Coturnix japonica: one gene and its partners. The protein of the gene in region 2 interacts with the protein of the main gene of each other region in a pairwise test. Links are inferred from orthologs where the notes say so. Each region holds a gene or a part of one and is shown on either strand. Other genes may lie near its edges.

Evidence for each region.
Region 1: the proteins of TRIM37 (region 2) and FAM124B interact in a two-hybrid assay, tested with the Homo sapiens proteins (2 studies listed by BioGRID and IntAct). The link is inferred for Coturnix japonica from reciprocal best matches to the Homo sapiens genes TRIM37 and FAM124B.
Region 3: the proteins of TRIM37 (region 2) and PRC1 interact in binary tests that used the Homo sapiens proteins (3 or more experiments, as listed by UniProt). The link is inferred for Coturnix japonica from reciprocal best matches to the Homo sapiens genes TRIM37 and PRC1.

What each region holds. Positions count from the first base shown.
Region 1 is NC_029524.1:6,955,786-6,959,532, forward strand, and holds the start of FAM124B (protein FAM124B), read right to left. Parts: upstream 2,338-3,747; 5' UTR 1,645-2,337; coding exon 913-1,644; intron 176-912; coding exon 1-175.
Region 2 is NC_029534.1:5,933,040-5,936,686, reverse strand, and holds part of TRIM37 (E3 ubiquitin-protein ligase TRIM37), read left to right. Parts: intron 1-211; coding exon 212-391; intron 392-580; coding exon 581-695; intron 696-905; coding exon 906-1,118; intron 1,119-1,472; coding exon 1,473-1,609; intron 1,610-2,283; coding exon 2,284-2,384; intron 2,385-3,326; coding exon 3,327-3,527; intron 3,528-3,647. UniProt on the Homo sapiens protein: E3 ubiquitin-protein ligase required to prevent centriole reduplication. Probably acts by ubiquitinating positive regulators of centriole reduplication.
Region 3 is NC_029525.1:18,211,096-18,214,842, forward strand, and holds the start of PRC1 (protein regulator of cytokinesis 1), read left to right. Parts: upstream 1-1,496; 5' UTR 1,497-1,619; coding exon 1,620-1,630; intron 1,631-3,747. Other genes in the region: VPS33B (vacuolar protein sorting-associated protein 33B), read left to right, coding at 20-93, 392-493, 725-800, 868-975, 1,076-1,155. UniProt on the Homo sapiens protein: Key regulator of cytokinesis that cross-links antiparrallel microtubules at an average distance of 35 nM. Essential for controlling the spatiotemporal formation of the midzone and successful cytokinesis.

The DNA of each region.
Region 1 (3,747 bases), on a different chromosome or scaffold from region 2:
GCACGGGTGTCACCCTGCCCCTCAGGGCCCAGCCCTGCTGGCCTCCCTGCTCAGCGCTGCACAGAGTGGGGAGAGGGGCTGCAATAGGGCTGTGCAGCAGTCCATCCACAGCAACAGCACTGCGCCGGTTGGGAAGCACAGAGCTTGTTTCCCTCTGCTTGGAGCTGTCCTGCACCTGTTGAGAAAAGGTGGAGAGAACTTCCTTAAAGAAGAACTTCCTCACCAAGAAAGGAAAATAAAGAAAATCGAACATACATTGAAATGATTTAAATATCCAAATAATAATAAAAATATCCAAATAGCAACCAAGGAAGCCAGAGGTGTGAGGAGCTGTTACAAAGCAAAGAGCACACAGATGAACTTCCCTCCTGCTCCCACGTACAATCACAGTGAGCACCACCTCCTCAGCACCATCTTAGCCTGGTTTGATTTGTGCTCGCATGCTCTCAGGGCTGCATAGCACAACAGAAAGGGGGCGGCTTTCCCATGGCATTTATTTAGCCCTTTTGCCCAACTGCAATTACAAAACTACCATGGGTGATGTTGCATCAGCGCTGTACTTGCAAAACACCTGGTTTGGGATGGTACGGGGCTAAAACTCTGCTTTCTGGAGCATTTATAAGGTTGCATCAGAAAGAGAACAGGCTGGAAAGGGAAAAAGGTGAATTCAGTGGCTCGAAAAAGAACTAATACCTTCTACTTCGGGTGCTAACAATATGGAAGCATTCTAAGGATCCGTGCTCACATTTATCAATGACATCGTAGCACTGGAAGTTGGTTGCTGAGTTCATGAATTAAAAACGAAATACGGACAAGCAAAACCTTCATTTCCATTTTGAATCAGTCCTGCTCTTTGTTGGAATAGAAAAACCCAAAAGGCATCTGGTCTGCAAGCACCGTGCACACACATACCTGAAGCAGAATTTTATTTCCTTCGTAGTCCTGTGTTTGCCACCTGGTGCTGCTGATAGGAACGCATGGATTGGGCAGGAGAGGCACCAGCTGCCCCATTTCTTGCACCTTGAACTGCAAAAGCGACGACTCCTTGGGCTCAGCAGCCATCCCAATGGGCAGCTGCTTCAGGCAGAGCTGGACCGCAATAGCTTTAGTGGCATAGAGCATGAAGACACAGAAATTGCTTTTCCGTGTGGTTGCTTCTTTCCGTAGGATCATCTCGTACAGCCCCACTGCATCGTCGTAGTTATCAAAGCTGAAGTAGAGGGTCACACGCAGGATTTCGGGGCTGCAGCCCACCCGCCGGATGCCCCACACCGGCATCTGGTCATCCAAGCCATAAAAGTCCTGCAGAGCTGGTGTGTGGGGAGGGCTTCGTGCCCAGGTGGTAGGGACACACTGGTGGTGCCAGGGTGGGCGCTGGAGGAGATCCTGGATCTGGAGGATCCGCTCTTCTCCCAGGTCCTCATGCAGAAAAAGGAGGACAGATATCCCAGGAAAGCCGCAGTTCCTCCTGCGATACCTCTCGTAGTATTTCAGTGGAGCAGCTCGCTCGGACACAAAGAAAAGTGGAACATCTGGGCAGATCCAATCCATGAGACGATCCAGAGCTTGCTGCAGGAACGCCGAGTATCCTGAGTTGGCCAGAAGATGCACAGTCATCAGAGGCTCTGCTCTGTCACCCATCATAAAGCTCCTCTTCAACAAACAAAACCAAACCGAAAACCAGTTTCCTCCTGCAGTGTTCGGAGTGGCAGCAGCACAGGCACTGCACTCTGAGGTAGAAAAAGAACTTGATCACTCAGAAGCTTTGCAACAACCCAATGAGGTGACAGGGTTGCACACACGCACACGAGGCAGGAAAGCGTGCCACGGTGTGATGGGACCAGCTCTGGTTTGCTCACGTCATATCAGAGCTCAGATGCACGTTCTGGCCCAGCAATGTGACCCAGAGCTGGTCACCAGGTGCACACAGCACATGCGCTGAGGCGCTGTTGTGGTGCAGTGACTGTCCTTGAGCAGGGTGCTGGGGGGCTGAAGCAGGAGTGCAGTCGCTCTCCCAATTGCACACATCTCATATATCTCCGGGTGCTCGCCGTGTGTGAAAACCTCAGCGTGTGTTCCTGCAGTCAGCTGCTGAACTTCAGCTTGCTGTGATCTCCCCAAGTCACACCCTTCTGGGGCACACAGATAAGCTATTCTTTAAAAACAAGGAAGGAAAGCAGGCTAACAAAGAGGAAAAAAAAAAAACATGTGAACAGGAGAGATAACAATGAGGGCCAATATGAATCAGGCCCAGGCACTGCAGGAGGAGCCTGGGCTCGGGGCTGTGCACCTCATGGGGCAGCAGTTTGCTGCTCAGCCCACCCCAAGTTGCTGTGCAAGGGTCAGGGGTCTGCTATCCAGAACACTGGACTTGAACTATTCCTCCCCCCCCCCAACTCCTTTAATTAAATACAGCCCTAGCTTTATATGCACCTGAAGAAAATCTCCAGGGTTTAACGGTACAGGGACCTGAGCTTCACGTTTCTTTTATTTAAAGATCACACTCAGTAATAGAAATACAGTCATGAGACCAAAGTAATGTAAGGTCTTAAGAAAGATAGCTGCAGCACTTCCAACAAGTAGTAACTGTTGGGACAGAGACAAAAACATCCAACCCTTGGACAATCACAGGAAGAGCGAAGGCTGCGAGTGTTCAAAACATTACAGCGCTGTAAATGAGCTCTGAACAACACAGAGTATTACTGAAACACCGAAAAAGGAAGCGATTCATCAACTCTTTGCTACAGGGAAGGGTACAAAGAGGCAGGCTGCCCTAAATGTGAGCAGCTCCTGACTTTCCCTCTGCTTCCCCTTCCCCCAGCTTTCCAGTCTGGCTGCCAAGCGGAAAAGCACATTATTCACTGTGACCTACCCAGCATGCCAAGAAAGATTGCTGTAAGAGATTAGGAGAACAGCAGCTCAGCCCTATGTGAAAAATCAGCCTGCGCTCCCACAATGCCCCGGAACACCATCCACACACAGCAGCAACATGCAGCACAGCACAGGGTACGGCATGCTGTGCATTGCTGACCTGAGTAAGAGCACGTGAGGGACGTACTGACCACCAATATAGAACATCAGTAAGCCCAGCATAAATAAATGCCCAGTGCAAACAGCCAACAAGTACTGTATTGTGTGAGGCTCAGAATATGGTCTGTGATGTGTTTCAAGGCTTGTAGTGCAAGGGCACAGCAGAATTATAACTCCTTTCCATAATGAGCTCTTTGATTGCTCCCAGCCCTGAGGTGCTGAGCCCTTCACTCCAGCTGACACCCAAGGACTGATGACGCACCGCAGGATTTAATAAATTCATTGTAACTTCTGTAATGAAGCAACACGGCAAAGGTTCAGGCATTGCAGACCATCGGTAATTAACTTCCAGGAGGGTGCCTGAATTACCTCAGCATCACAGAAGCAGCCCTCATTAAATCCCGGCACTGTCTTGGGCTCGTTAGCCTTCAAGACATTTTTTTTTCCTGCCGATTTCAATTTCTTCCTGCACCAAGGCCAATGACAGCCATCGACAGCAGCACTCAGACAAAAAGCAGAAGTAGGGCCCTACTTGAGCACAATAAGCTTTGCAGCCTGCCTCCTGCCCCAAGCACCGTGCCTCCAAATTCATCAGTTCTGAGGAAAGTAAAACCCCAGCAGTCTGACCTACTGCACTTACGACAGGGGACTTCTCTCCCAAGTAGTCCCTTAGTTCTCCTTTTTAACCAGCTAGTAAAAAGGATCTGGCAGGGATCT
Region 2 (3,647 bases):
TAAACACCTAATGGGAGTATCTGTCTCCTGGCATTCAGACGTGGTTTACTCCCCGCTTCTGCCTTCTTTCCCCAGTAACGTTTTACAAGTGAGTCACCTTTCTGGGTGGACACGCTGGCTTCTCAGAAAGGGCAGTTTGCTTTTGCTTGGTGCATTCAGCAGTTCTGACCCCTTTGTTTTGGTCTTTACCTTGTGATCTTCCTATGCATAGGTATGAGTACCGCGTAGAAATGGTTCACCAGTCCACCAACGATCCCACTAAAAACATCATTAGGGAGTTTGCCTCTGATTTTGAAGTTGGAGAGTGCTGGGGTTACAACAGATTCTTTCGTCTAGACTTGTTAGCCAACGAAGGCTACTTAAACAGACAAAATGACACTGTGATCCTAAGGTAAGAAAGATGTTGTGTGTGGGGGGGTTCTGCTATTATTTCATAAGAATCATAGTTCCATCCCTTCTGCTGTGGGCTGAGCTGCCCTTGCAGGATGTCTGTGAGATGACATTTCAGGTCATCCAATGTTCTTACACAGGGCTGGTCAGACTGTCAGAAAAATGAAACTTCTCAAATATTGCTTTGAAGGTTCCAGGTGCGCTCACCAACCTTTTTCCAGAAGTGTCGGGACCAACACTGGTATATTGCTCAGCTGGAAGCTGCTCAGACAAGTTATATCCAAGAAATCAATAACCTCAAAGAAGTAAGTTGGATGTGTATCAATACAAAAACACCTTGTATTGCCTAATAATTCACTGGTTTAGGTTATGAAGCTTGTATTTGGCATTTTTTGACTTGGATAGATACACATGCTGTGTTTTGATGACATTTGTATAAACCAGAAGGACTTGATTCAATGGTGCTGCTCCATTGTTATCTTCTGTGTGTGTTTCTGTCTGTCTCCCTAATTAAGAGGCTCACAATTGAACTTTCCCGGACTCAGAAGTCACGAGGTATTTCACCTCCAGACACTCACCTCAGTCCCCAGAATGACGATGGACCAGAAACGAGATCAAAGAAGTCTGGACCAAGCACTGTGGCACTGCTTGAGAATGTTACTGCTCCGGGGTCAGCGCGAGATAACAAGGAAGAGGATGAAGAGAAGATCCAGCATGAAGACCTCAGTGTAGGAGCAGTCTTTATTTTACCTTCTTTTATGTAGCCTTTTATAATAGATGAGCAGTAGGAACTTTTGTGAAGTTCTGAATTGTAAATGAGACTTAATCTCTTTGTGGAAATAGGAGACAGTGTGTTTGACAGTTAGCAAGAGGTATCTTACGTGATGTTGTGGAACAGAGCTACTTGATCCCACTGTAAGGAGGTTTCCCAATTGCAGCTAAAAAATGTAGCTCTGACTGTGCTTTCAGACTCTCCCAACTTCTACGTTCCAGTGTGACACCTCTGTGGGGAGAAGGTTTGGGTTTGTAGCTTTTGGCAGAAGCAGTGAGGTCCGAGTTAAGTGTTTCTCTTTGTTCTGTAGCACGAACTCTCTGATGGTGATCTGGATGTAGATCTTGCTGGAGAAGATGAGGTGAACCATCTTGATGGCAGTAGCTCTTCAGCTAGTTCCACAGCCACTAGCAACACTGAAGAGAATGACATCGATGAAGAGACTATGTGAGTAACTTCAAGTCCCAGATAATCACCTTGTGTTTCCCAAGCAGTAAAAATTCATTTGCAATATCACTGTTACAGTGCATTTGGGAGTCAGTGCAACATAAGGGATGTTTCCTGTACTGGAAGTAACATAAGCTGATAGAGTTGATGTTAAACAAAGAATTTTCAGGCACTGGTTCTTTACTTTCTGGTCTCTTCCTTTGCTTTTGTGGTGTTTCTACCTTTGGTAGTCTGTAAAGATTCTCTGACAAAACAGTAAGGAATTTGTTTCTACACTGATCTATGTCACAATGAAATAGAGCTTGGTATTAGAAAGTGATGCAGTAGGAGTGTTAATAAGGACAGGTAGTTACTGAAAAGCAGAGGGCTTAATTTTCTTAGCTGACACACTAATGTCAAATCTGAGAACATTCATTAAAACGTGAGAATGTGTTGTAATGCGTACGGATACAAAAGTTTACAGGATGAGATTTTACAGTCTGGATTTGTGTGAAACTTTTAGGCTCCTTGTTAGGGAGTCTGTTGTTTTATTAATACACTCTGTGTGTAGCTCAGAGTGCAGGAGCTTCATGGTGCTTTGTGCTTTTCTTAGTGGTATGTGCCATCGTGTTTAACAGGAGCAGCCAGAATCCAATAACTATATTCTGCCATTTTCTCCCCAATCTTCTCTTAAGGTCTGGAGAAAACGATGTGGAATACAGTAATAATATGGAGTTGGAAGAAGGAGATCTCATGGAAGATGCAGCAGCTGCTGCTGCCGCTCCTGGGGCGTCAGGTATGAAAAATAGCCTTCAGAATTCCTATGTAGGCAAAGCACTGCTGGACTTCTTCCTCTGTTCTTTTTGGAAGCGACGTCAAACTGTGTGTTCTGCAGGCATTGCTATTTTTGGAAGTGCTGCATCATGCAGTTTGTTCTGATTATTGCAGCGTAGCAGAAACATCTCAGTGGTTTGGTTCAAATAAAGATAAAAGGGGCAGGGGGAAATCCAGAGATGTTTAAAAGGATGTGAAGTTAGGAGGGGGACTTTGGTGCCTCTCAGAAAACCCTTCAATTTCAAGAAAATGAAATTGGAAAGCATTTCCTTTTTACTCGTATCTGTGTGGCCTCTGAACGTGTGATGCATCACTCCAGGTTTTTGTGCACTATGAAATCTCAGCTACGTGGAAGGGAGTGAATAATCTTAAGAGTCAAGAAGAAAGAGATTGAAATTGTTAAAATAGGTGTTCTAAGATCTCGAGCCTTCTGGAGATTATTATCACACAAACTGTGAGCCATAGGCTAATAAGACTGAAATGTTGAATATGTGTGTATTTATATATGGTGGAGATAGCCATAGAGATGACCTGATCAGAACAAATGTTCACCAGAAACGCTGCAGATAAATCTAATGGGAAGGGTGAAAAAAGTAGGAAGTTTATGTGCGTGCCTTGAGAATAAATGCTCTTTGATTTGTTAATTGATCTATTCAATCTATTTATTAAGAGATTTACATGGAAGATATGAGCCAAACACTTTTTTTTTTCCCCTCCCTTCCTTTCCTGTGGTGGCACTTTGCTTAAAGACTATTGAAGTACATCTGACTGCTTTCAGAACATAAATCCATGAAATAATACTGATATTTGTTACACTTCTTAGAATGCTTTTATGCCTCATCTACATGAACTTTCCAACTCTTGTCATTTAAATGCATGCTATTTCCTCATAACTCTTCCTTAGGTACCAGCCATGGCTACACCAGTGCAAGTGGAAGACCTTCAAGGCGAGGAGGAAGCGCCCTGGGCTCAGCAGCTAGCAGCAGTTTACTTGATATTGATCCCTTGATTTTAATCCACCTGTTGGATCTGAAAGACAGAAATGGTATGGAGAACCTCTGGGGCCTCCAGCCACGTCCACCTGCCTCTCTTCTACAGAACAGAGGTAACTGTACATCAGATCTCAATTTCATTCCAAACTGGAAGTGTCTCTTGAGAATGCAGTGCCAGAGTTAGAAGTAGGTTTGTGGACAGGGAAAAAGAGAATGAAGGGCCGTTGTTTTCC
Region 3 (3,747 bases), on a different chromosome or scaffold from region 2:
TTCTTGTCTTGATTTCCAGGAAAAATTACAGATGCATTCAATTCCTTGGCCAAGAAGAGCAACTTTCGAGCCATAAGCAAGAAACTGAGCTTGGTACGTCCTGTGGGCTCTACTGGGAGGGTTGTGCCTGGTCTGTGCCTGATCCCCAGGGCTCTGCACCCTCAGCTTCCATCCAGCCACAGGAGCTGGGCTGCTGCCGGCTGCCTCAGTGTGCATTGCCAGCCTCAGTGTGCATTGCCAGCTGCAGCTGCTCTGGCCCTGCTGCAAGGGCGGTTTGTGCTGCAAGGGCAGTTTGTGCTGCCGGCCCTGCCTGGGGCTCAGCCTGACACAGAGACACAGAGCCCGACCCCCCTGTGCTTTGCTGTCAGTACCAAGCGGTGCTTCCCCGCAGATCCCACGGGTGGACGGCGAGTACAACCTGAAGGTGCCTCGGGACATGGCGTATGTGTTCAGCGGGGCCTACACGCCCCTGAGCTGCAAGATCATCGAGCAGGTCGGTGCCCCCAGGTGCTCTCAGTGCTGCCCTGTGCCCAGAGCTGCCCTGATCTGTGCTATGCTGTGTTGTGCTGTGCTATACTGTGCTATACCATGCCATGCTATACCGTGCTATGTGGTACTGTGCTATACTGTGCTATACCATGCCATGCTATACCGTGCTATGTGGTACTGTGCTATACTGTGCTATACCATGCCGTGCTATACCGTGCTGTGCGGTGCCGTGCAGGTGCTGGAGCGTCGCGGCTGGCAGGGCCTGGAGGAGGTGCTGCGGCTGCTGAACGGGAGCGAGTTCTCCATGGCCGGTAGGAGCCGTGTTGGGGTGTCGGGGGTCGGTGCCGGGCGGGGCCGTTGTGACGCCGTGTCCCGCAGACGGAGCGATGGAGGATGGCGCTGCACAGCGCGTGGTGCTGGCCGTGTTCATTGGGGGCTGCAGCTACTCCGAGATGGCGGCGCTGCGATTCGTGGGCAGGGAGAGAGGTACGGGATGGGGGGGAGAGGGACGGGACGGGACGGGGGTTCAGCGTTGGGGCCGTGTGTGTTAGTGCTGCCCATGTTGCCGTGCTGTCCCCGCCCTCAGGTTACCGGTTCATCTTCCTGACCACCGGCATCACCAGCAGCTCCCGTGTGATGGAGGCCATGGCCGAGCACAAGGTGTGACAGCGCTGGGGCGGGGCGGGCTGCGCTGCGGGGCCCGGCCCGCTCAATAAACGCCGCCGTCCAGTCCGACCCTGTCTGGTACCGTCCGTCTCGGCCCGGTTTATCCCGGTTCATCCCGGTTCCATCCCGGTTCATCCCGGTCCATCCCGGTTCATCCCGGTTCCGTCCCGAGGCGTCATTCAAAGCCGAGCGGCGCGCGCGTTTCTGTGTCACGTGATCGGCGTCAAAAGTCGCGCGTGCGCAGTGCGGCGGAGCGCCGCTCAGAGCCCAGCGGCCGCACGCAGCCGTTCCGGCTCGCGATTGGGCGGACGCCCCGACGGCGCTTGGCTGCCATTGGCTGACAGCCGGCTGGGGGCGGGACCTGGGGAGCGGTTGTGGGCGGGGCCAGGCGCGAAGCTTCAGCCAATGAGCGGCTGAGGAACCAGAGTTTGAATCGGCGGCTGCGGGCGGCGGAGAGTGGGGACATGAGGAGGAGGTACGGGAACGGGAACGGGAAAGGAAACGGGGAAGGGGATGGGAGACGGGAACGGAAACGGGATACGGAACGGGGAACGGACTGGGATACGGGAACGGGAAATGGGAACTGGAAACGGAACGGGAATACGGACGGGAACGGGGAAGGGAATGGGAACGGGAACGGAACGGGAGACGGGAGTGGAACGGGGACGGGAACGGGAACGGGACGGGAACGGGGAAGGGAACGGTTACGGGGAACGGGAACGGCGTACGGGACCGCGGATGGGAGACGGGAACGGAAACGGGACGGGAACGGGGAACGGGAACGGAACGGGATGGGGACGGGGACGGGAACGGGGGATGGAGTACGGAACGGGAACGGACGGGAAACGGGACGGAACGGGAACGGGAATGGCGACGGGACGGGAACGGAAACGGGAACGGGATGGGAACGGGAACGGGAACGGAAACGGGAATGGAACGGAACGGGAACGGGAATGGGAACGGGAACGGACGGAACGGAGCGGGAATGGGGCAACGGGAATGGGGAGTGGGGATGGGAACGGGAAGAATGGGCTGTGATACGGGGATGGGGCCCGGGGCCGCGGCGGGGAGCGGGGGGAGCAGTGGTGCGGGGTGCGGTGTCCCGGTGTCGTTGTCGGGTGTTGGCGGTGCCCGGTGGCTGTCGCGGCCGCCCTCGGAGCCGCTCCGCCGTTAGCGAGTGCTGGCGGCCGAGGCCGTGACGGCCTGAAACTCGCGCCCTGTCCGCCGCCTGGCGGGACATATGGTGAGCGATCGGCAATCGCCCGAGGGAACTGCGGCTCGAGCGACCGGGGCTGTGAAGAGACACCTGTCAAAGGTTCAGCGGGGCGGGGTCGGGAGCGGGGGATCGGGGGAGGGGGCGGGCGCGGGACGGGGACGGCGCCGTGCTGTGTGTTCCTGCATGCCCTGTGCTGTGCTGTGCCTTCGTGCTGTGTTGTGACATGTGCTCCCATGCTGTGCCGTGTTGTGTGGCTCGTCTGGGTTGTGCTTCATCTCGTGCTGTGTGTTTGTGTTGTGTGTGCTCCATGCGTGCTGTGTTGTAGCTGTGTTGTGTTTGTTTGTGCTCCAATGCTGTGCTGTGTTGTGTTGTGTGTGCTCCATGCTGGTGCTGTGCTGTGTTGTGTTGTGCGCGTGCTGTGGCTGTGTTGTGTTGTTATCGCTCCATGCCGGCTGTGCGTGGCCTTATTGTAAACTGTATTTTGCTCCATGCTGCCGTGTTGTACGCGTGTTTTTGCTCATGCCGTCTGTGCCTCAGAAACCTGCTGGACATTGATGGTGGCGTGAGGAGAGCGCCTGGAGGGAGGCAGATGCGCAGACCGTGGCCGTGTACAGGAAGAGCTGGACGGCCCTTCTGTGCCGTAAGCTGCACGCCGAGCCTTCCAGGTGAAGAGCGCACAACAGGAGCCTGCCACCGGGAGCTAGGTGAGCCCGAAGGCTTCACCCAACGACAACGGCCCGGGGTGGGCGCTGGGAAGGCCGCCAGCAAGAGCCTGTGGATGCAGCCGTGGGTATGCAGCGCTGTGGGATGCTGCGCTGTGGGTGCAGCCACTGGGGATCCAGTGCCGTGATGCAGGCGCTGTGGGATGCTGCGCTGTGGGATGCAGCGCTGTGGGATGCAGCGCTGTGGGATGCAGCGCTGTGGGATGCAGCGCTGTGGGATGCAGCGCTGTGGGGTGCTGCGCTGTGGGATGCAGCGCTGTGGGATGCAGCGCTGTGGGATGCAGCGCTGTGGATGCAGCGCTAGTGGAAATGCAGCGCTGGTGGCTGATGCAAGCGTGCGATGGCATGCAGGGCTGTGGGATGCTTGCGCTGTGGGGATGCTAGCGCTGTGGGATGCAGCGCCTGTGGGAAATGACCGTGCGTGGGATGCAGCGCGCTGTGGGTTGCAGGCGCTGTGTGGATGCAGCTCTGTGGGAGCCAGCGCTTGGGGATGGCAGCGCCGTGGATGCCAGCTGCTGTTGTATGTCAGCGCTGTGGGAGTGCAGGCGCTGTGGGGGATGCGAAGCGGGCGCTGTGGTGCTGTGCTGTGCGGAGGCCAGGCGCTGTGGGGTGCTGTGGCTGTGGGATGCAGCGCTGTGGGATGCAGCGCTGTGG